Caenorhabditis elegans: one gene and its partner. The protein of the gene in region 1 purifies or fractionates together with the protein of each later gene. This does not show direct contact. Each region holds a gene or a part of one and is shown on either strand. Other genes may lie near its edges.

Region 1 (11,634 bases):
TTCAGAAAATATCTAGTTTTGAATGAAAACATTTTTTAATCTGTATAAGATGTAAAAATCTGAAAAAACGAGGTTCTCATGAGGAAAGAACGTCAGAAATGAAAATCAGAATTGAAATTGTCATCGTGTCCAACAGAGCGCAGTTGATCGAGTCCGCAATCTTCCGCCTCGGTGTACGTGCACACAATGCACAATATTTCACGACAGAAGAATAGTGTTGTTTTAATTTATTTTTTTCTAATTAGTTTAAAGTTAATTTTTCTTGCATCTGCCGTGATGTCGCAATTCCCAGAAGTTTTAGACAATAATGTAAGTAATACAATTTAAAATTTTCGACTTCCCAGCAAATGTTTCATTTATTTCAGCTTTTACACGCCGAAAACAACGAAACTGCCGAATACATACAAAATGATGGGACAAATCAATCAGAAGTGTTCATGGAACATCCCTACACGGTGAATAAAATCAACTCGTTTTAAAAACTTATTTATTTTATTTCATTTTAGCCGAACATGCATCCAATAAATATGCCTTCTATTGTAGAAGGTGCGGTTCATCCTTATAATAATTTAATCCATCACAATGATGCGATACCACCGGCAAAGTACGCCTCGATGAGACAAATGACAGAAGATTTCTGGCGTGAAAAAAAACAGAAAATGACTGAGATTTCTGAAGAGGATATGCTGAACAAGTCGAAAAACATGAGCGTTCCCATGGCTAGAGTGAAAAAGATTATGCGAATAGACGACGATGTTCGCAACTTTGTGAGTAGTGTCATTTTCCAGCCGATCTTCATACACTTTTTACAGATGATCGCGTCTGATGCTCCGATATTTATGGCTCAAGCAGCCGAGTTTTTCATTGAAGAAATGACCGCAATGGGCTGGCAATACGTGTCAGAAGCAAGGCGACGAATTCTTCAAAAAGCCGACATAGCAAGCGCAGTGCAAAAAAGTGATCAGTTCGATTTTCTCATCGACTTTCTACCTCCGAAAACGGTGCCAACAACTTCCACAAACGGCCCAGGCCATATGAGTGAAGACAGTTTCCAAGGTTTTCGGTTTTTTTCCTAAATATGATTTTTGTGCAATTTTTAACCTTTTATAGATCCCAACATGCATTCCGACTTTCACCAGAGAACTTCAAATTCTTCAGTCAACCGATCTCACCACAATTGATCTTTATAATAATATTTTCTTGCTTATATTATGTATTAAAATTAAGTTCGTGGCGCCTGGCGCCCTTTAAAAGCTTGAATTTATACCTTTTTTGTCTAAAAATACTGTGTTTCATATGCACATTCATATATTTTCTTATTTCTTTGTTTTTCATTTTACAGGCTTTTACTTTGAAATCTTTAAATTTGAGGCGAAATGTGGTTGTCAAGTGAGGAGCTGAGTGCGAAGAAGACGGCTTGCCACGTGAGAAATGTGGAATCCAACAAAGAATTTGCAGATTCTGATATCGTTGCCTCATTCGTGCACAATCGGCCAAAAGATTTGAAAAACGTTTGTTCTAAAGCACCTTCTTTCAAATGAAAATAAAAATCCATTTTAGCTGACATTCGAAAGACACGGAAAAGGAGGACGTAAAAAAGCGCCAATATTCAGCGTAAAAGGAGATATTAGCGAGCATGTTGTAGAAGTTGGGGCAGATGTTAATTGTCTTGATGAGGGATTCGATTTTGCTGTTGCTTTGGTTGATAAGGTAATTTTGAGTGTATTTTAGCTAACAAATTCACTCTTTCAAAGGCTGAGTACCGAAACCTGAAAAATATTTTGGTACTAGTTCTAAATCACCCCGCCACTTTTTTTCTTTTTTTTCAAATAAAAACGTGTGGAGTTTTTGTATTTTTAGGCTTAGGAAATAGCCATTTCTAAGCCTAAAGATGGAAAATGGACATCACGTTTTATTAAAATGAATAATATTAAAATGAGGGGAAATAATACACAAATAAAAAAAGTGGCGGGGTGATTTAGGACTAGTACCAATATTTTTTAATGACTCCAAATTTTCCCCTGATTCCGAAAATCTATCAAAAAAAAATTTCACTGACTTTGGATTTCAGCTTGAAATCCCCGAATTTCATTTGTGAACCCTTGAGATTTTTCAAACGCTCCAAAAATTTTTTTTTAATCAATGAAAAACGGAAATCAGCATCCGATATAGATTAAAAATTTCGTAAATCGACACATGGCGTCTCTGAGGCGAAAAAAGTTATTCATGGGTGGTGCACAAATGAAATTCGCCATTTCAAGCTTATATAAAAAATATAGAATATAGAAAATCTTTGAATTTTTTTCACACAGATTTTCGGGTTCAAGGTAAAATTTGGAGTCATTTAATAATATTTCTCAGATTTCTGTACTCCACCTTTGTGTACTCTTGAAGGAATATCGAATTATGTATTTGAATAAGAATATTTTTTAAAAAAACTTACAGAGAACTGGAGAAGCAACATATCGTCCTGCACGATTCTATTCATTCGAAAGCAAGTTCTCAGAAGACATTGAGAAGATTTTCAGTGACAAGAAGGAATCGTCGTCTGAAGAATACAAAAACGATTTTTCAATTGGAGCAGAGAAATGGGCTGAGAAACGTCGTCAATTGACATCGAATTTTGGTTCTTCGAAGAAAATTAAAATGGATGAAGCAGCTCAACGAAGAACTATTAATCAAGAAACATTGGACGAAATGAGAAAGACCGCGTTCGCTTCGAATTCGAACGTTAAAACTGAGGATGGTGCTGCTGACGTGAAGTTGGAGAATATCACAATGATGAATAAAGCCGAATCATCAATTCTTCCACCTGCTGTTCAAACGGAACTTTCACGAGATATCTATCCAATTTCCTTGTTCCTTGAAGACATTGAGATTGACGCAATTGAATCGATCGCCACTGAACTGATGGAAAAGAAGAAAAAAGAGAAACTTGAAGCTGGAATTCCAGAGTGTGTTACTCTTATTATGTACAATGAAAAGACCAAACAACGTGCAGCCGCCTATCTTTTACTCTCCACCATGATCGAGATCCTCACAAAAATGGGAAAGCAAAGACAGTTGCTGAGAAAAGATTTGAGTGAGCTAAAGATGCCCGATATTCTCCGACAGAAAGTTCAGGCCCAGTTTTTCAATGATAGTACTAATGAGAAGGGGTACACTGGACGTGGAGCCGAACGAATCCGTCTCAATGTTACCGACTATGATCGTTTTATCGCGCACACACTTGCATTGGCATTGACATTGGCACCCGAGCACAAAGTACCGATTACTCCATTTCAACAAGCTCTTAGTTATCAGCCTAGTAAACTTGAGAAGGTAAATCCCACTTGAAAATTTTGCTTTGAATTGTTTAAAATAGTCTAAAATCCAGAAAAAATGAACCCAATTTTGTGCATGAAACGTGATAGAAAGATTCGCGTACTTTTACTTTTACAAGATTCGCGTACGCATAATTTTGAAATTATTTATTTTATTTTTTTCTCTAAACATTCTCTAAAATTAAGCACATTTTCAAAGAACTCCAACAAGAGTTTTATTCACCAAAATGCCCCATTTTCAGATGTTCCAAGCACTAGGTGCAGACCTGATTCGTCTCGATGTGGCGTCTGCTCAAACTCTTCGTTCCCTCCGTGCCGCGATTCTCTTGAAACCTCCGAGTCTGGAACAGAAAGGGCCCAGAAAGATCATTCGGCGATAAATATTTTACTTATTTTTTCTTAAATCTTTTCGTTTTCCTCAAATTTGTTTTGTTTTGTTTTCTAAAATCGTTAAACTTGTTTTGTTATGAATTTCCGTTATAATCTTTATTTTTTTCTATCTTGATTTTTGGAGGGATTCGGATTCAAACACCAATCAGATTTCTAATAATTTGTATTTCAAATTTAATTTGATTACCTTTGTTACAGGCATATGTTTTCTAACGAAGACCCAGGACAGGAAGGAGCAGAAAATGATGATGTATTCATTGGTATGCATAGTTTAATAAAAATAATTGAAATTTCTAAATGTAGATCTAAAATATAATTTCTAGAATCAAGATTTTTACTTTTTTGAGAAAAATATTGAATTAAACAAATAAAAATCGAATTTCGAAATTTTAAAAAATCACAAGAAAGTCTTATTGTTTGGCACGGGTTCCGAAGAAAAATTAAAAATTATTTGATTTTGCCTATTTTTTCGTTTTTTCTCGGTGTTTTTCAAGAGAGAATATCAAATTTAAAAAAAAACTATATTTTCAATTAGGTATTTAATTTTCGACCTTTAACCGTAATTTCCTCTAATTACCAGGATATTTCAAACATCTTGATTTCAGAAATGCTGGATGAATTTTCAAATGATGTACCTGGTAGTTTTTTTGAACGTGAGCCCACAAAGGATACAACGACCGCTCGAACAATGCACTTTTTGTTGAAAAGCATTGTTGGCCAACTCAAAAATCCGATAAACACCGAAGCAGAAGCTATTGCTCAGTGGCTCATCTACAAACAAACTGGTCCGCATCGTCATCAGAAGTTTTTTGGACATTTTCGTCAAATGAGCAGACTCGTCAAGAAATACAATGAAATGTCATTAATCAAAAGATTGAATCCACAGTTGAGAAAAGCTGAAAATTGTGGTGGTGACGACGTGTATAAGCTGGAAATAAAAGCTGTTCGATATATGGGATGTGCCTATGTCAAACGAGTCTATCTGCTTGAACGAATTCGTGAATCGTGTGTAAAGTGTGCTGACGGAGCTATTGGATTACTAGAAATTGACCATTGGATCAATTTATCGCTTGTTATTGTGGCTCTTTGCTCACAAATTCATTCAGAAGTTGTCGCTCAAGTGCTTGAAATGGAAAAAGTGTATAAAATAGCAGCCGGTGTGATGATGACAGCCGATTTGAAATTTCCGAAAGAACTTAATGATCTAGAAGTTGTACGGAAGATTAGGCACGAGTCAAGAATCTTCGATGAAAGGAGAATGGAAACTTCAAATCTAACAGCAATCAGCCGTCTTTTGAAGTATAATGCTGAAACAATGAAGCAAGCTCAAACGGAGAATGATTTGAGAATGAAAACGTAGGTTGGCAAAAATTGATTTTTTCAACAAAAAAATTAAAACACAAAATGGCCGGAAATTATTAAAAATTAGAAAAAAAAATTGATCAGAAAAATAATTCTATCTATAAATATATGAAAATAGGTTGATTTCAATGAGAAAATGATTTTTTCTGAATAAATTCAAATTCTGCTAAAATTTTATAAAGAAAGTTGAATTCCCTCCAAAATTTTTCTGAAAAAGTTTGAATTCCCGCACACATTTTTCCAAAGAAATTTGAATTCCCGTCAAAGTGTTCTCGAAAAATATGAAATTTTGCCAAATTGTTCACCACAGTATTATTATAGACCCTGCCAAATTCCCCACTTACCCTAAAGCAATATCTTTTCAAAAGACGAAAAGTCAATTTTTCAAAAGCTACAGTAATCCTACCGTACTCCTACTCCTACTACTACTCCTACTCCTACGTACGTACTCCTAAAAAACCCCTAAATTACAATTACAGTACCCCGACCATATTCCCCTTACTAGCCCAAGCCAATTATCCTTCAAAAGACGAACATTTATTTTTTAACGAAACTACAGTAATCCTACCGTACACCTCCAGTTTTCTCGAAATCTAAAAATTTAATCGTTGCTCGCCAAAAACCCGAGCCACAGGGCATTGAAGAACTTATTTAAAAAAATATTACAGATCAGAAGTTCTAACTGATATTCTTGCCGCTGATTTGAGTTCTCCAATTTCTACGCAGCTTCAGAAGAAAAAGACGAACAATTCCGTGCAAATGGACATGTCAGATTTGGGAATCTCAATTTCACGAGAAGATATGAGCTTCTTGAATACGACAGGTTTTTGTCTCTAATATGCTTCTAAGTAACTAGAATTATCCAATTTTAGGTCAATCCTGTTCATCAATACCTGAAATTGAAAGCGACGAAGATGCTATATTGTTTTCCCCGAATTTGTTTGCTTCAAAATCCATAAAAATTAAAAATAAGTTGAAAAGAATGAATCCGGTTGCCGAATCTTCTACTAAAATAACGAAGACGACTAGTTTTTTATCAGCGACAATGGATATTCTAAATAGCTCACAAGATGCTGCTGGACTACCTAGGAAGAAAAAGAAGAAGATGAATAAAAAGTGAAAGGAGCGATTTATTGTTCTGCATTTACAGTAGCCCATTTGGATACAGTAACCCAAATAGGAATTTTGTCTCCTTACGCACTTATTTTTTTGAAATACTGTATTTCTTAAAGGTACATCACATTTTGGCGCGGCCTTGATTATCGTATCTTGTTTGCAATAGCGAATATTTCCGCAAAAAGTCTTAATTATACTGTTATTGTTATTTGCTGATTCTTCATTTATGAATTTGTTGTTAAAATATATATACATTTTTAAGTTTCAGTTGCTCTTTTTAGACGGTTTCCCTGGACCGTCGAACATTCTATTTTTTTTCTGGCCGTTTCTTTGAAACTCTGATTTTTATCTTTTCCCGTCTCTGTCTGCTCCCGCTAACTGATAGCATTAAATAGTTTTTTTCCGGGAAAATTTCAGCTGTGGCAATGACTCCAATAAAGTTCCGTTTCGTAGGAAATTTGAAGTACGAAAACTTTAGAAACTGAATTGTTTCATTTCGAAATTCGAAAATTTCAGGAAAAGAAGTGCTTACTCACCTGCCTGCAGACAGGAAAAAGTTAGATTTTCAAAAGAAAGATAAATTAAATTTTTTTGCAAAATTTTAGGAAAATAATTTTAATAACGCAAAAAATCAGGGGTGGGCGGCGATTGTCGTTCAGAAAATTTTTTTGTTGACAAATTCGGCAAATTGCCGGTTTCCCGGAAATTTTCAATTCCGGCAATTTGACGATTTGCCGAGAATTTCAATTCCGGCAATTTTCCGATACGCCGGATTTTTTCAATTTCGGCAATTCGCCGAAAATTTTCGATTTCGGCACTTTGCCGTTTTGCCGAGATTTCAATTTCGGCAATTTTCCGATATGCCGGATGTTTTCAATTTCGGCTATTTGCCGATATGCCAGAAATTTCAATTCCGGCAAATTGACGATTTGCCGAGAATTTCAATTCCGCCAATTTGCCGATTTGCCGGAAATTTTCAATTCCGGCCTTTCGCCGATTTGTCGGAAAATATCAATTCCGGCAATTTGCCGATTTGCCGGAAGTTTTCATTCCGGCAGTTTGCCTTTAATTGTTTTTGAACACAAATTCCATGTAATGACACATAAAGGTGCCATCATTTTCAACTAGAAACCAATAAGAATCGATAAGAAAAGGAGAAAAAGGACAGAAGAGAAAAGAAAGATATCGAGAAATATGGGGTGATGGACAGACACAAGGTGCACAAAACACTCAACACTACTCACTTTTCTCGGTTCATTTCTCCTATTTTGTAAATTGTATGTTATGACTCTATTTGAAACTAATTTAAAGGTTATTTAAAGGTTACGCTCTGTTATTTAAATTCTTCTTGTAATTCTAACATTATTGCAAAAACCTAATAATTGACCGGAAAACTGATAGAATACAACTTGTATTTTTAAAGCTATTACATTTAAATATCAAACGACAATACGTTCATTGAAAGCCTACATGAAATAGTTTGCATAACTGAAGAGACGCAGGTGGTGTTGACCTAGCAACCTGTTCTTATTCGTTCTTTCTTTTGTGTGTTGCACATGAGCATGAGCTCCGACCTCTTTTTACAATTTTGTATACCTCACGTGGTGTAGGAATGCCCCATTTCGGTTTGACCTCCAAGACTTGTGGGATTTTAGACACTTAGACTTCTCAACTGATTTTGTGCGGTTAAGAGTGTGCTGACGTCGCATTTTTCTGGAGAAAAAATTCCCGCATTTTTTTGTAGATCAAACCGCGATGGGACAGCACCCCGTGTTACCTATATTACTTTCAGACTAAACATGGGATTTCTACCAGATTCGTGGCATTTCTACATTGAAACTTTGCTCGTTGCACTTCTTGCCTATGTTGTCATGCGGAACAGATCCAAACGTCAACAAGAAAAACTTTCAAAGAAACTAACTGAAAGGCAGAAAGATGAATTAATTGCTGATTGGACTCCGGAACCATTGGTTCCTGAAACACCACAAGACCATCCTGTACTGAATCCAAAATATGCTGATGGGTGAGTTTTACTCGTTTTTAGGCTTTTTTCACATATTCATTCCCCCAAATTGCAGAAAAATGACAAAGGATGTTTCGATCGATGGCGAAAAGTATCTCAACATGGCATCAACAAATTTCCTCAGCTTTATCGGAGTCAAACGGATTGAAGACCGTGCGAAACAGACGATTTTCAAGTACGGCGTAGGATCGTGCGGGCCACGTGGATTCTACGGAACTGTTGATGTTCATTTGGACCTTGAAAAAGAATTGGCAAAGTGAGGCAACTTACTATAGTTATAAAGAGACAACTTACTATAGTTACAAATTTTAATTTAAAGATTTATTTTCCAGATTTATGGGATGTGAGGAGGCTGTTCTGTACAGCTATGGGTTTGCTACAGTATCTTCAGCAATTCCCGCATACGCTAAAAAGGGAGATGTCATCTTTGTTGACGAAGGTGTTAACTTTGCAATCCAAAAAGGTCTTCAAGCATCACGAAGTCGTGTTGAATATTTCAAGCATAACGACATGGAGCACTTGGAGAGGTTATTACTGGAACAAGAACAAAGAGACAAGAAAGACCCGAAAAAGGCCAAGTCTGTACGGCGATTCATTGTTGTTGAAGGCCTCTATGTAAATTATGCGGATCTTTGCCCACTTCCCAAGATTATCGAGTTCAAATGGCGATTCAAAGTTCGTGTTTTCATTGACGAAAGCTGGTCATTTGGAGTCATTGGAAAAACCGGAAGAGGTAAGCTTAATGAAAAAAATTTCAAAAATTTCGTATGGTGGTTAACTATTTTGAAGAAAAACATTCAGAAGTTTTTTTTGGAATTTTTTAAAATAAAAAAAAACGTTCTTTTTTTAGTTTGAAATTTTTTGAATCCGTGGCAAAATTTCAGATTTTTTCGAAAATTAAAAAAAAATTTCAAAAAAAATCTGAATGTTAGCCGGCCCCTAAACATCCGGGAAATCATCAAAATCTGCAAAAAATTCACATTTAGAGCCATTTTACGGACCTCAAAGTTGTGAAAAAATGCATTGAAACATTTTCAGAGCCACTTTTTTCCAATTCAGTGCTCCTCTGCCGCTAAGTTTAGCATGAAAAATACCACAGACCAATACAAACACAAAAATAGGATAGGAAAGCTTTATATATAGAGAAAAGTAATACCCCGTTTGCAAAAATTAAATGTACAATTGAAATAATTCCTATAAAAACAATCGAATCTATAAAATATATAATACAAACACCGTAATAAGTGTGAGAATGTTACTGTACCCGAAAGTAGAGGATGATGATGATGTCGTGATGGTAGTGGTGATATCAATTGGTAGAGATGTCGACGAATCTGGTGACGATTTCATAGACGTCGTTTGTGATCCGACCAATGATTCTAATATCGGCCCGTTATACTGTAGTCGATCGGAATATGTGAAAATTAAATCCAGTGCTGCACCATTGGTCCAACCGAATCCGGCCTGAAATGATCATTTTTTAGGTTTCGTAGTTCCTCTACCTTACTAACCTGAACTTCGTATTCTCCACCAGTCGCCAACTTTCCCAGTGGCTCCTTTACATTATATTTCTCCCACATTTCATCGGAAACATTGAATGTTTGCATATTAGTCTCCAGCCATTTCTCAGCAAGAGTAAACGCCTTTTGTTGTAGAATTGGATTGTTAGACTTGCGAAGTCCTTCAATGATCATATGATTCATTGGACTCCAACCATTTGGGAAATCCCATTGCTGGTTCGTCTCCTCGTTCATACTTGTTGGAATTCCGCCGGGTATTGAGAACGCCCCAGAATTCTGCATTTCATTGTACACATCCACTGCAATCTGAGAGTTCAGTGGGTCGTAGCACTGCGAGAATAGAGGTACAGCATTGGATGCGAAGAAGTCAGTATTGTGGGTGAGTGTCCGAAGATTATAGTCGTACCATCCTTTTCGAGCCGGTACGTAGAATACCTTTGTGAATGCTTCACGGAAGTTTGTAAAACGAGATGACCACTCCAAATGTTTCAAGGGGTTTCCGGTAAGTTTATAGAACAATTGCATAATGTTCATGTTGTAGCAAAGAAAGGCATTCAAATCCACTGGTACTATATTAGTTGTCTCAATAGTTGAAATATCTTTATGATTTTTAAACCATCTACTCGAAAAGTCCCATCCGCTTTCTGCCGCACTTCCCAAGTCTTTGAAAAACTGCTTCTTCCTATCCTTTGTTGTAAAATGTTCTGCACTCAGTACATCCTCTCTGAAACTTTCAGGTCTTGGAGTTTCAGCCTCTGTTCTGTACTGGAACATGTGAAGTGTTTCATTCAAGTCCGGATGCTCATAGGTCACATTAACAGTTCTTCTTTCACTCCAAAATGTGTACTCTTTTTCGATAACTGGTATCAAATCTGCTACTAGTTGAATGTCCTGAGTTGCCAAGTAATACTCGTATACCATTGGTGCGAAAAACGGTGGCTGAGATCTTCGAAGGTAATAAACTCGGCCTCCGTTCGGCACAAAACCATACGTTTCAATTATATGTGCGAAGTTCAATATCATCATTCTTGCAGTTGAATACAGTTCAGACGCGATTAACCCTTTGAGTATCCAATATGCATCCCAATAGTAGAATTCACGGAACCTTCCTCCAGGAAGGATGAACTGATATGGCACATAAATGAGAGAGAAACGAGATGGATCATTTTTCACTTCTGGCTTTATCTGGCGGCAAAGTTGAATCCAAATGAAATGAAGTCGTTGAGCAAAGGCCTGATAGCTAGCATCTTTGATATTAGCCAATTGTTCTGTAATGGGCCTCCAGTCAGGAAGATCGCAACTGAAAACACACGCTTGGATATTACAACTTCGAAATTAATTATGTCAACTTACACATCTAACTCGTTGCCTTCTTTATCGAAAAATTCATCAACAAATTCGGCAACATCTTTCTTGGTTATCTTCTCAATAGAAACAGGGAAACGTTTTTCAAAATGCTCCATAATAGACTTTCCAGTTTGATTTTCTTTCATTGGCTGATCCACAAAAGTCTTGGAATCCGGATACAATTGGACGGCCATGACAGTCTGTAGAAGTTTACCACTACAGTAGATCATCCATTGTCCAGGCGCTGTTTCATTATCACATGGTAGAACACTTCCATTAAAATAGTCGGATCCAATCAACTGAGCGACTTCCTTATCGGTCTGGAAAACCGATATCGATCTTGAGACTGTCTTAAAGCTTCATTAGGAATGAAACATAATTTTTAATTGATTCTAGAACACTCACCAATTGCGTTAGCTCGGTATGTACTCGATTGTCATGCTCTGGTGTTCCAAAATCGGCATTATCGTCTATGATATTCGGCCCTCTTGGATCTTTTTGTGGTCTTGCAGAAACGTAAACTATTAATAGGATAGCTAAGAGAGTCTCTCTC
Region 2 (11,080 bases), on another chromosome or scaffold:
ATCTGAATCTGAATCTTCAATATTTCCATAAACAAGCTGATCATTTTGATGTGCAGAAGGTTTATCCAAATATGTGCTTGTTGAGGGAATATCCTTATAAATGTCGTTCAGAATTACTTTTTTCGATGGACTTATAACTTCTTTGATTGCATTCGCAAGTGCCACGTCATCAAGACCACCACTGGCAATTTCCTGAAAATTGATTGGTTTAACAAAAGAATTTGGAAATAATTTAAAACTTTTTAAACAGTTAAAAACTTCAAAAAAATTGATGCGAGAATATAGAGCCGGGTCTTGAAACGAATCGATATATTTTAATGAAGATCGTGAAGAGTGTGCTCATTTTTTTGCTCTTTTAAAAAACAAAAAAAATCTAGTTTGTCTTTTAACAACCAAAAATTTAATTGCAAAAAATAGGAAACGGGAGCTACAGTACTACTTAAAGGCGCATAACCATTTTCGGAGTATTTTTCAAAGAAAATTTTCGGTTGTTTCGAGACCGTGCGCCGTATTCTTGCTTCATGAACAGAGCTTTTTCGTTGTTTTTCGTCATGTTTTTGATGGAAAAATTTTGTTATTTTTTCGCTGTCTGAAAAATTCATGAAGTTCTAAATAAATTAATTTTACCCTAATTTTTTGAGATTTTTTCAGCACCTTTAATTTTCCCATTTTCTTCGAATTCTTAAGAATATCATCATCATTCTGTCTTTTTTGCCGTCTCGCTTCTAAGACTTGACGTTTGAGAGGTGGTACTTGTGGTCCATCAAACACGAAAACAGGACGAATTTTGTAGAATAAAAGTTTAGAGAGACGATTTACAAGGAGACGCAGATGTGGAAACGGTTGATCCGATGGATATGCGAGTTGAGCCTGATAGATCCAAATTGAAACATCTGAAAAAATGATAAAAATTACAAAACATGTAATGTCAGAATAAAAGTGAAAAGTACAGTACCCCAATACATGAAAACTTAAATATACGAAATAAAACAATTTTACATAGTTTTGAATTTGTTTTTTAGCTTACCAATTGCCAATTTTTTTCCTTCTAAACATTCCAAAGGAATCTCTGTTGCCGTTGGTTCTACAATTTTCCATAATCCAGTGATTCCCATATCTTGAATTAATTTCTATAATTGGGAAATTTGATGATAAATCAAATATATTACATTAGAATTGCGTGACATAAAAACCAATATATACTGGTATAAGGAACTGGTATAAGTAAAAATTTTATGAACTAAAAAAGGTTTTTTGAAAATAAGGAAAAAAAGAACCCGAAAGAAAACAATCGTTATAATCTGAAAATGGGGGGTTGGACCGGATGAGAAAAAGCAAAATGTGAGTTTGATATTTAAAACAAAAAAATTAAGGCAATCGCTATGGCAATGTTTTTGATTCTTTAGTTAAAAAAGATCTAAATGAGGGAACTGGACTATACACAACAGAAAATAATAAAATCAGGTGCAAATTCTACAGGAATCTATGAGAAAATATACAAAATAAAAACTACAAATGTGATATTCGAAAGGGAAAAACTGAATTTGGAAGCTGTAGAGCTGGATGCAAATTGATCTCCGTATTTGTCCAATAAATCCAAAATAACGCCATTTGTCCAACCAAAGCCAGTCTGGAAATGATTTTTTTTTCCAATTTTTTCTGTTAATTTACATTATTTTCTCAGTGGGATTTTGCTTGAAAATATCCAGAATAGTTCAAAATTTAGGAATACGAAAAGAAAAAAAGAAGAATCATCTAACTTTTGAAAAAAACAAACAAAAATTCAGTCAAAATTGAGAAATCGCTTTTTGAAAAAAAACTTTTCAATTTTTCTGATTATTTTTTTTTCCATTTGTGGAATTTCGGAATTACATCTTTAAATACTCACTTGAACTTCATATTCTCCTCCACCTCCTCCAGAAGTTTCTTCAGTATGTGGAGTAACATTATACTTTTCAAACATAGCATGAGTTCTGATAAATGACTGATATGTTCCAGTAAGCCATGACGTTGCCATCTTTTCAGCAACTTTCATCAGTTTTATGTCACCAGTTGTACGGAATCCTTCGATAACCATATGAATCATTGGAGGCCATGCGTTTTCCTTATCCCATTGCTGCGTACTACTCATTGCAAGAGATGTTGGAAGACCTTTTGTGTATTTCAATAGTCCTTGGCGCTGAAAATTCCCAATATATACGTTTTTTTTAGAGTGACACTAACCTCTAAATAATCATGAACACGATGTGGAATATCATCATCATCATCATAACATTTTGCATACAAAGGAACAGCATTTGATACATAATATTGATTTGAATGAGTTTTCAATTCGATATCATAATCATACCAAATACCATCTGTTTCATTCCAATGTAATTCACGCATTTCCCGTTTTGCCCAAGTGTATCGTTGTTCAAATACTTTCACTTTTTTGAAATCACCAGCAATTTCATAAAGACTCGCCAGAATTCGAGCATTTGCACACATGAAAGCGTTTAAATCGGCTGGGATAATGCTCCACGTTCTGAATTTGATTTAGAATTAAAACCTCGGAACTGTAATTTTTGAATTTGTAAAGACAGCATGTCACAGAAATTCTCTGTTTTCTTTTTCGATTAATCCAGAAAACCAAAAAATCGGAAAAAAAAGTATAGAAAATTAACAAAAAAAGATTTTTTTTTAACCAAAAAACCAACACCCTCGATACCTTATAGAATCCATTCGATGCATTGTATCTCCATTTTGAGAAAACCATCGAGTGGAGAAATCCCATCCCGTCTCGGCAGCCGACGCTATCTCACTCCACATTTGAATTTTCTCCGCTTCAGTTTGCAGATGCTCTGCTAATTCCGAATCCTCACGATATGATTCTGGTCTCGGTACTTTGAGTTTAGCCTTATATTGATAATATGGAAACTGCTTGACACCATCTTTGTCTTTGAACCATTCCTGTCGATTTTTAATCCAAAACTCGTATTCTTTGTCAAGGGTTGGAAGAATTTCCATTACAAAATCCAAATCTCCTGTGCTCATGTAATATTCGTAGACCATCGGTGTCAATAGAGGTGGTTGGGAACGTGTTAGATAATAGACACGACCTCCATTTGGTACGAAACCGTGACTGAAATTAATCTTTATTATCAAATTGGAGAACTTTATTCTAGTGGCCAATTCAGTAGATCATTTTACCACTGAAAGAATAAACATTCGAACAGTTATCTATCCTCCTTTTTTGCACCAAAAAAACTAGCGCCTTGATTTTTATTCAATTCTTTTTTTTTTAATTTCTCATTTCTTTCAAATATTTATGGTGTTTCACCTACATTTTCGCTTCCATAATAAATTCCCAAATATAAAAAATTGTCTAATTTCCATCGATATTTGTTCAGATATGTGCAGCCTACCAATTTCCTACTTTTGTACCGAGGACACCAGCACCACTCCCTAATACGAATCAAAAAACGAACATTCTTTACTTAATAGGTCACATGATGGGCGCATGTCAATTCGAAAAAAGTATGAGTCCATCAATCAATTCTTATCATACTAATGCTAGTGTCAAAATGATAGGGATTTTTGAAGAGTAACGATGTCTCCGTAATCTTTTTTCTAAATAAAAAAACAGTTCCTTTTTGGTTTTGAGCTGTGAATAAATCTTCTAAATTAAGGAAATTGGAAATAATTATTCGCGGAAGCTGTTCAGCATCATGTTCCAAATTTGGATATGAAATCTAAAACTCACTTATCAACCATATATCCTAGATTTTTGATAACTCCTCGAGCTGTTTCATACATTTCTGAGAAGAGAAGCCCTTTGAGTATCCAGAAAGTATCCCTGAAATAATTCGATATTTTATATTCACTGAAACAATGAAGCTCACCAATAGTAGAACTCCAAAAATCGACCACCCGGGATAATAAATGGATGAGGAACATATAGAAGTGAATAGTGATCTTGACGATGCTTGACGTCATCTCGAACCTGAAATTGCTCATTTACAATCAATATTAAGCAAAATAAGATTACTTTTCTACATAAATCTTTCCAAATCCTATGTAAATGCAATGCCCATCGTCTATGGTGATAATCATGAATATTCAAAAAGTTTGATGGAAAATCGACCCAATCTGGAGGAAACCATTCAACCAGCTCACTTCCAGGCGGATTAAAATGTGAAGTTACAAATTCCCTTAAAATAATCATATCTGAAGTTCGATCACCAAGCTCGTCGAAATGTCGAAGTGTCGTAACTGAAAAAGAAAAATTTAAACATTCGTTTTTCGAACATCTCGATCACAAAATATAACCCAAAAACCGGTCTCATCGTTTTCAATTGCTTACCTCATTCAATTTTAACATTTAGCATTCCTTTTTCGAAAGTCACGTGGTGGAAGATGTAATTCAATTATCTTTTTACCAATCATCATCCACCAAAAAAGTTATGATATGGCCTGATTTCAATTTTTTTCCCAAAACACTAAAGGTCAGTAGTTGATTCTCTGACTTCTAATTGCTCTTTGAATTTGAGGAAGCTCGTGTCTGTCAGCTGCTTGAAAATATTCTTCTTTCCTGACTTTTAACAAAGATTTAATTTACAATCAACAAGACCTTTCAAATTTACAACTCCGTTGCAAAAACCGGTTCAGGTGATAAAGATAGCGTCTTTGATAGATTGTTTTTATGTTTTGTTATGTGATTTTTACGTAACAACAACATTAAAAACCAAAAACCTTACTTGGATCATATTTTAGTGACATATCGACGAAGTGCTTCGAGTCTGGAAACATGTGTGAATCTTGTACAGTTTGAAGAATTGGTCCATTGCAATAGATTTGTCTAGAAAAAAAACCATTTTTCAAGAATATTTCAAAGGAAACTTACGCTAGGAGGTTGATTACAGTGTAGAGCATAATTTCCTATAGGGGATGAAGAGTACAGAGAATGTTAATGACAAGGCATTCGGTCAGACACTAATTCGAATTTGTGGGCGGAAAAATTGGCAAAATATCGTTGATTTTTCTTCTTTCTTCTCTGATGTCAGCCGAGTGCCCTCAACGTCTCGTGTCTCACAAAATGAAAAATAAATCAACAAAACATGAAAGTGTGCGGCGCCACTGCAAAAGTGCGTGCCGCAGAGTTGCAATTGGGCGGGGACTTTGGTCCCGCAGCGAAACAACTAGCAAAAATGTGTGCTCCTTTAAACGCCGCCCGCCGCTTTTTACTTGATTGTTGTGCCACGTTGCTCTTTTTAAGCTTTTTAAATATTAATATTGTTATTTTTAAAGGATTTATACTTTGCGGGACATTTATATTCGTTAAATACAGGTCATGAAAGACATTTCTCTTTTATTATACTAGCAAAAATAAAAGTCTGAATGCTTTAAATTTTATTTTTTCATGAACATGTTTCAAGATAACTAGGTTGCATTTTCTAATTCAAAATTTATGTTTTTTCGCTCCTTTCTAATATATTTTATCTTATTGTTCTGTTGTATCTCAAAGATATTAAATTAATTACAGAATGGCGGCTCAAGTAGTTCCAGTTCTCTCGAAACTGTTCGATGACTACCAAAAGACAACATCATCGAAGCTGAAAATCATTGATGCTTACATGACATACATCCTGTTCACCGGAATCTTTCAATTCATTTATTGCTTGCTCGTCGGTACATTCCCATTCAACTCGTTCCTCTCTGGTTTCATCTCCACTGTCACTTCGTTCGTTTTAGCATGTGAGTTGTTTATTCAAAAAATTTGGGTTCAAGTATATTGGCAACATGAGTATTGTTTTCAGTAATAAAAGGTTAAAACGGTGATCTTTGTTTTCCTAAAAAGGGTTTCTGGGTTTCTTAATAGATTTGCGCTGATTTAAAATGTTTGGTACTTAAGCGAAATAAAGTAAATATAAATTGTATGTTCATTTGAGTTTCGGATGGACTGCAATTTTCACATCGTATCATAAACATTGGAAATTCCAATGGGCCCCCGCTTCAGCCCTCAAATGAATTGATAATAAATAAATGTATTTTTAAGCAATTAATTCTAAACGTTAATATTTTGTTTTAGCGTGTCTCAGGATGCAAGTAAATCAAGAGAACCGCTCCGAGTTCACAGCTGTCTCGACAGAACGTGCATTTGCTGATTTCATCTTCGCAAACCTCATTCTCCATCTTGTCGTCGTCAACTTCTTGGGATAAACTCTGAAAAGCTTTAATATGTATTTATTTGTTTCAATTCCTTCCATTAATTTATTTGTGTTGCAAAATGCCACCTGGGGTTTCGTTTCTCTTGCTGTGTTACACCTAATTTAATAAAATATGTTTCTGTTTTAATTAGAAGTTTTTAGTATTCAAGAAGAAAACTGCGTTATTGTCGCAAATTACTTTTGATGTGCACATTCTCATCCAGCTGAACAATTATAAACTAATCAGGTTGAATCATGCTGTACATGAAGCCAGCTCGTTTCGTGAAGAACGCCTTCACCAACCCTAATTAGTAAGTTAAATACTAAAAACGAAGAAGTTTAAGCATAGATTGTTTATTGAAAATACTTGCCACCGCAAAAACACAAGTTTTTAACTTCATTCCGATCTTTCACATCTAAATACAAATTGTAAAATACAAAAAGCAGCCCGCTGTGGTTTAATTACCTAGTCTTCTGCGAACACTCGCAATTTATTTGTTTTGAGTGTTTATAATAATTTAAACATTTTCACAATGAACGTGGATTCGGTTAGGATGTTCTATGATTTTCTTCCAGCTTCAAGTCGTATGGAGCATACGGAGGATCCGCTTTCCTTTTGGCCATCTACTTCTGTGAATGGAAAACCGTCGGACAGTACATCCCACTCTGGAACAAGCGTTACGTCGAATAGATTAAATCCTCAACACCTATTCCGATCGTTGATTGACTTTTTTAGAATTATGAAGATGTTTATCTTCTAGAATCTTTTTGCTCGGATAAACTTTCTATTATTGGCCTCTTTTTCGTTGAAAAATAGTTTATGCACAGTCGCTTAGCGCCGGGATTTCGAAATTGTTGTGACTCATAGCGAGCCACTGAGCAGAGATAGTAATTCAGAAGAGAGACGCCGACGACTAAACTTGTTTTCGCTGTTGTTGTGTGGTCTCTTGCATGTTTTTTTACTCGTGCCGTTTTTTCTCATTCGAATCACTTGTTTCAGTCAAATTTTCAGCAATGTTCTCGATATTTATGAGAATTCCTGATACTGCTCAGGTTGATGCAGTATTTTCTGGAGCATATGCATCAATTGAACAGGGATTATGCTACGATGAGGTTAATGATTGGGTATGTTTATTATTTTGAATGAAAACTTTGAAAATAATTGTTTTTTTAAGGAAAATACTCTCGCAATGTACGAAAAAGGATTGAATTTGATCGTCGAAGGAGAGAAAATGAAAAATGCGAGGAAAAGTGAAATGTGGAAAATGTTACAAGAATCAAAATCAAGTGTCCAGCATAGGTGAGTGATTTTGAATTAAAAACGTTGATAAAACCGCGAAAAAGTACCTTTAAAGTTCACATTATTTTTTTCGACTTTTTATTTGAAAAAAAAAAAAGTTTATAGAATCAACGTTCTGAAAAAGGAAGGACCAAAGCAACCAACTCCAAAGAAAATCAAGGAAGCTGAAGAAAGTGTTGAAAACGAGGTATTTACTCATTTTAATTAATTAAATTCATTTTCCTTTTTCAGAAAGAAGCAATCAGAATGCAGCTCGACTCCTTTGGATCTCAGGAAGCTGACTTGATTTATTTTTTGCCGGAAGGTGTGCAACTCTTCACAATTGATGTAAGTGTTTTCTTCTTTTGTTTAAATTTCTTTTATAGATAGTTTTCTAAATATTTCTACAATTTTATTATATTTTCAGGGGGAAAAAACAACTGCTCCAACTGCTCCAACATCTCTTCAAATTCTCCGTTTTCCTCAGCCAACTGATGGTGGAGCTTCTTCAGATACACTTGCATTCATGCAAGTTGGGCCTTGGGCATATCCATTGATGGGTGCAAAGACTCCAGTGCTTCGTAACGAATTCGGAGCATATTTGGTTGCCAATCCGACTCCAGAAAATCCAAGTGGGAAAAATTCAGACATTCAAAGATTTCAATTTGTAATTTTCAGACATGACTGTTGCAATCCTACTATCATCAGACATTGAGCGAAGATTAATTGAAGAACTTCACATTGTTCTCCGTGAATTCACGGATTTCAAAGAACAAGCTGAACCATCTACTGAACTGAGTAAAGAAGAGAAGAATAGGATTTCTACAACAATTTCGAATTTTCTGATCAAAGGAGGTCAAAAAATAGCTTGGGGAGTTGAAACAACAACCGTACGAGTGATTTCAAGAGTTGAAGATAATGGAGAACAGTATCGAACAACACTTATCGCAACGGACAAACCAATGCAAGTGTCTCCAGTTATCAAAGGAAGTGTAGTTTATATGCATAAAGGAACAAAGACAGTCGCTAAGTGCACAAGATATTTGTGTAAGTTTTCGACTTTAAGAGAGAAGTTTGTAGAGAAGAGATTCTGAAAAATATTTTGGACACGAAAAGTTGGCCAAATATTTTTTCAAGTATTAGGGATTTAAAAATTCAAATTTTCAGTGGACAAAATCGGAGATATGGGCGTTTCGATGGGAAAGAAATTGGCAGATAGTGCACAAAGACGATTTGGAGATGGAAAAAGTGGAGGACTCGTATCCGGAACCATTGGTATGGCTTATAACTGGTTTCCATAAAATAATTTTTATTTTACTATTTTCAGAAATTCTTGGAGGCGGAATCACTGGTGTTGCCACAGTTTGGATGAGTTTGGAAGATGGTTCCCGTCATCTATGCCGAAGTATTGCGAATCAAACTGTACAGAACGTGAAACTCAAGTACGGAGACGATGCATCAGATACCACTCATCATGCTCTTTTCGCTGCCGGACACGGAACACTTGCAGCTGCTCAACTATGGGATTTGGGACCAAGAAGTGTTGCTGGAAGGATGGCAAGAAAAGCTGGAATTCAAATGGTATCGGATTTGCATCACAGTAGAAAAGGAAGTCGTTTAGATCAAGAAGTGCCAGCTTTGGAGCTCAAGAAGGCTGTCTAGATTTTTTTTTTGAAAACATTATTTTAGAAACAATTTGAATACAAATTTCCTCATGTCTTCTTCAATTCCAGTTAATTTTTACGAAGTTTAATTTTTCATGCATCGAACTTAATTTTTTTGCATTGTATTATTTAATAAATCTATTTTCGCAAAACAGTTATATTTGAACCATACATGTATTTAATCTAAAATTCTATATCTCTGAATGTTTATGCCTTGAAAGCGCAAAAAATACCGATTTGTTTTCAGTGCGATTTTCGAAAAAAAAAAACGTAGAAAATTTTTGAGGATTTTAACGTATTGGAAAATCTCGAGCAATTATAAATTTTGGAAAAATGGCGCCTATTCCAAAAAAGAAGAAGAAAATTGTGAGAAAATCGATCAAAAAGCCTGTTGTAGAAGAAGATATGAAAATGGAAGAGGAAAAAGGTGAATATTCGAACTAATGCTTGCACTATAAATTGATTTCGCAATTTTTATCCGAAAATATCAAAATTTTCAGAAATGCTTGAACCAAAAGAGGAAAGCATTGAAACAGATAATAATGAAGATGAAGCTGGAAATCTGGACGATTCTGAAATTAAAACAGAAGAATCAGAAGATGATGAAATGGAGACTTTTGAGGATCCAGAACAAAAACAAAAGAAGACTGGTGTAAGTTTTTTTTTAACTTTTTTATTCGAAAATACCTGAGAATTAGGGTTGAATCCTAGAAAAAAAACGTTTTTTTCGTAATTGAAAAAATAAAAAAAAGCGAAACATTTTTTAATCGAAAAGGAAACATGAAAAATCGTTTTTTTTAAGCAGAGCTTATAACGAACATTTTTGCATTTTTTAAATAGAAACACTTTGCACAGTTACAATTCTGAGTGTCGTTTTTCTGTATAGAATTTATTCCGAGTCTAAAGCGCAAAAAAATACCAATTTTTTCCTAATTTTAATGAAAATTTATGAGTTTTGAGTTACCGACAGGTTAAAAGAATTTTCCAGGTTTTTTTCGCTTTTAAAAATTAATTTTGTTTAAAAAAACAAAAAATATTCTGCTCACAATCAGAATGTTAGAAAATTTTAAGTAATTCTTCAGAAGGATTAGTTAACTTCAAAAGATCCCTTCTCGGATTGTTGATAAAATATAATTTTAGACTATTTTAGAGGCCACAGATAAAAAAAAGTAATTTTCAGGTTGTCTTCTTCTCAACAATTCCTCCAAAATACAACGTGGTTCGAATGCGTGAATACTTTGAAAAGCGATGCCCTGGACAAGTTGGTCGAATCTTCCTTGCGGTAGCTTATTTTTTTTTCAAATGAAATCATAAAAATTATATTTTTAGCGTAACAAGCACTCGAAAAATCCGCAATATCTATATTCAGAAGGATGGATGGAGTTGAAAAAGAAAAAGATTGCAAAAGCAATTGCTGAACAAATTGATAACACTCCGATTGGTGGAAAGAATAAGGATCCAGTGTCGAGCATGTTATGGAATATTAGATATTTATCTGGGTAAGTTATTCATGAAAATATACATGAATTTTTATTTTTCTAGTTTCAAATGGGTACATCTTATGGAACAATTACAATATGAAAAAGAAGTGGAAAAACGACGAATGAATGTGGAAGTCGCACAGGTACAGTAACCCCCGGTATTGGCCACTTTGCATTAATATTCTTCTTTTCAAGGCTCGTCGAATTGCTGCTCACTTTGAAGAACAAATTGAGAAAGGAAAACATTTGAGAAAGCTTGAAGCAAAGGTTACAGCTTCCGGTGGAAAGTGGGATAAATTCCAGCGAGATGTCCAGCAGAAGAAGGTTGTGAAGGTGAAGAAGGAAAGATCAAAACATGTTAACACAGAGAGTAGCGAATTGATGAATATGATCTTCAAATAAAATTAAATCTTTTTTCTCATTGTTACTTTTATTGTTACTTTTTCACTGTTTTTGTTGCCCTATTGA

Evidence for each region.
Region 2: the proteins of sptl-1 (region 1) and ucr-11 fractionate together in Caenorhabditis elegans (co-fractionation; one large-scale study listed by BioGRID). This does not show direct contact.

Annotation. Positions count from the first base shown.
Region 1 is NC_003280.10:43,669-55,302, forward strand, and holds the start of sptl-1 (Serine palmitoyltransferase 1), read left to right. Parts: upstream 1-7,983; 5' UTR 7,984-7,990; coding exon 7,991-8,214; intron 8,215-8,269; coding exon 8,270-8,470; intron 8,471-8,546; coding exon 8,547-8,947; intron 8,948-9,332; exon of another isoform or gene 9,333-9,426; coding exon of another isoform or gene 9,427-9,678; intron 9,679-9,725; coding exon of another isoform or gene 9,726-11,034; intron 11,035-11,087; coding exon of another isoform or gene 11,088-11,401; intron 11,402-11,486; coding exon of another isoform or gene 11,487-11,634. Other genes in the region: rpt-4 (putative 26S proteasome regulatory subunit 10B), read right to left, coding at 2,444-2,464; Nuclear transcription factor Y subunit nfyc-1, read left to right, coding at 277-309, 366-455, 507-767, 813-1,056, 1,111-1,181; rpoa-49 (RNA polymerase I associated factor, A49-like protein), read left to right, coding at 1,377-1,511, 1,561-1,710, 2,446-3,321, 3,566-3,703; C23H3.5 (Nucleolus and neural progenitor protein-like N-terminal domain-containing protein), read left to right, coding at 3,916-3,973, 4,319-5,069, 5,744-5,898, 5,948-6,195; tre-5 (Trehalase), read right to left, coding at 9,427-9,678, 9,726-11,034, 11,088-11,401, 11,487-11,634.
Region 2 is NC_003279.8:6,548,735-6,559,814, reverse strand, and holds ucr-11 (Cytochrome b-c1 complex subunit 10), read left to right. Parts: upstream 1-6,435; 5' UTR 6,436-6,443; coding exon 6,444-6,499; intron 6,500-6,764; coding exon 6,765-6,879; 3' UTR 6,880-6,981; downstream 6,982-11,080. Other genes in the region: xpg-1 (XPG (Xeroderma Pigmentosum group G) DNA repair gene homolog), read right to left, coding at 1-192, 655-893, 1,028-1,115; tre-1 (Trehalase), read right to left, coding at 1,484-1,630, 1,889-2,179, 2,224-2,527, 2,711-3,124, 3,746-3,838, 3,885-3,985, 4,031-4,254, 4,740-4,840 and 1 more; Dolichyl-diphosphooligosaccharide--protein glycosyltransferase subunit dad-1, read left to right, coding at 5,526-5,736, 6,071-6,201; spg-20 (Inheritance of peroxisomes protein 1), read left to right, coding at 7,203-7,313, 7,364-7,488, 7,594-7,675, 7,720-7,815, 7,895-8,099, 8,146-8,514, 8,635-8,742, 8,795-9,129; F57B10.8 (Activator of basal transcription 1), read left to right, coding at 9,465-9,558, 9,632-9,783, 10,312-10,413, 10,461-10,630, 10,674-10,755, 10,808-11,014.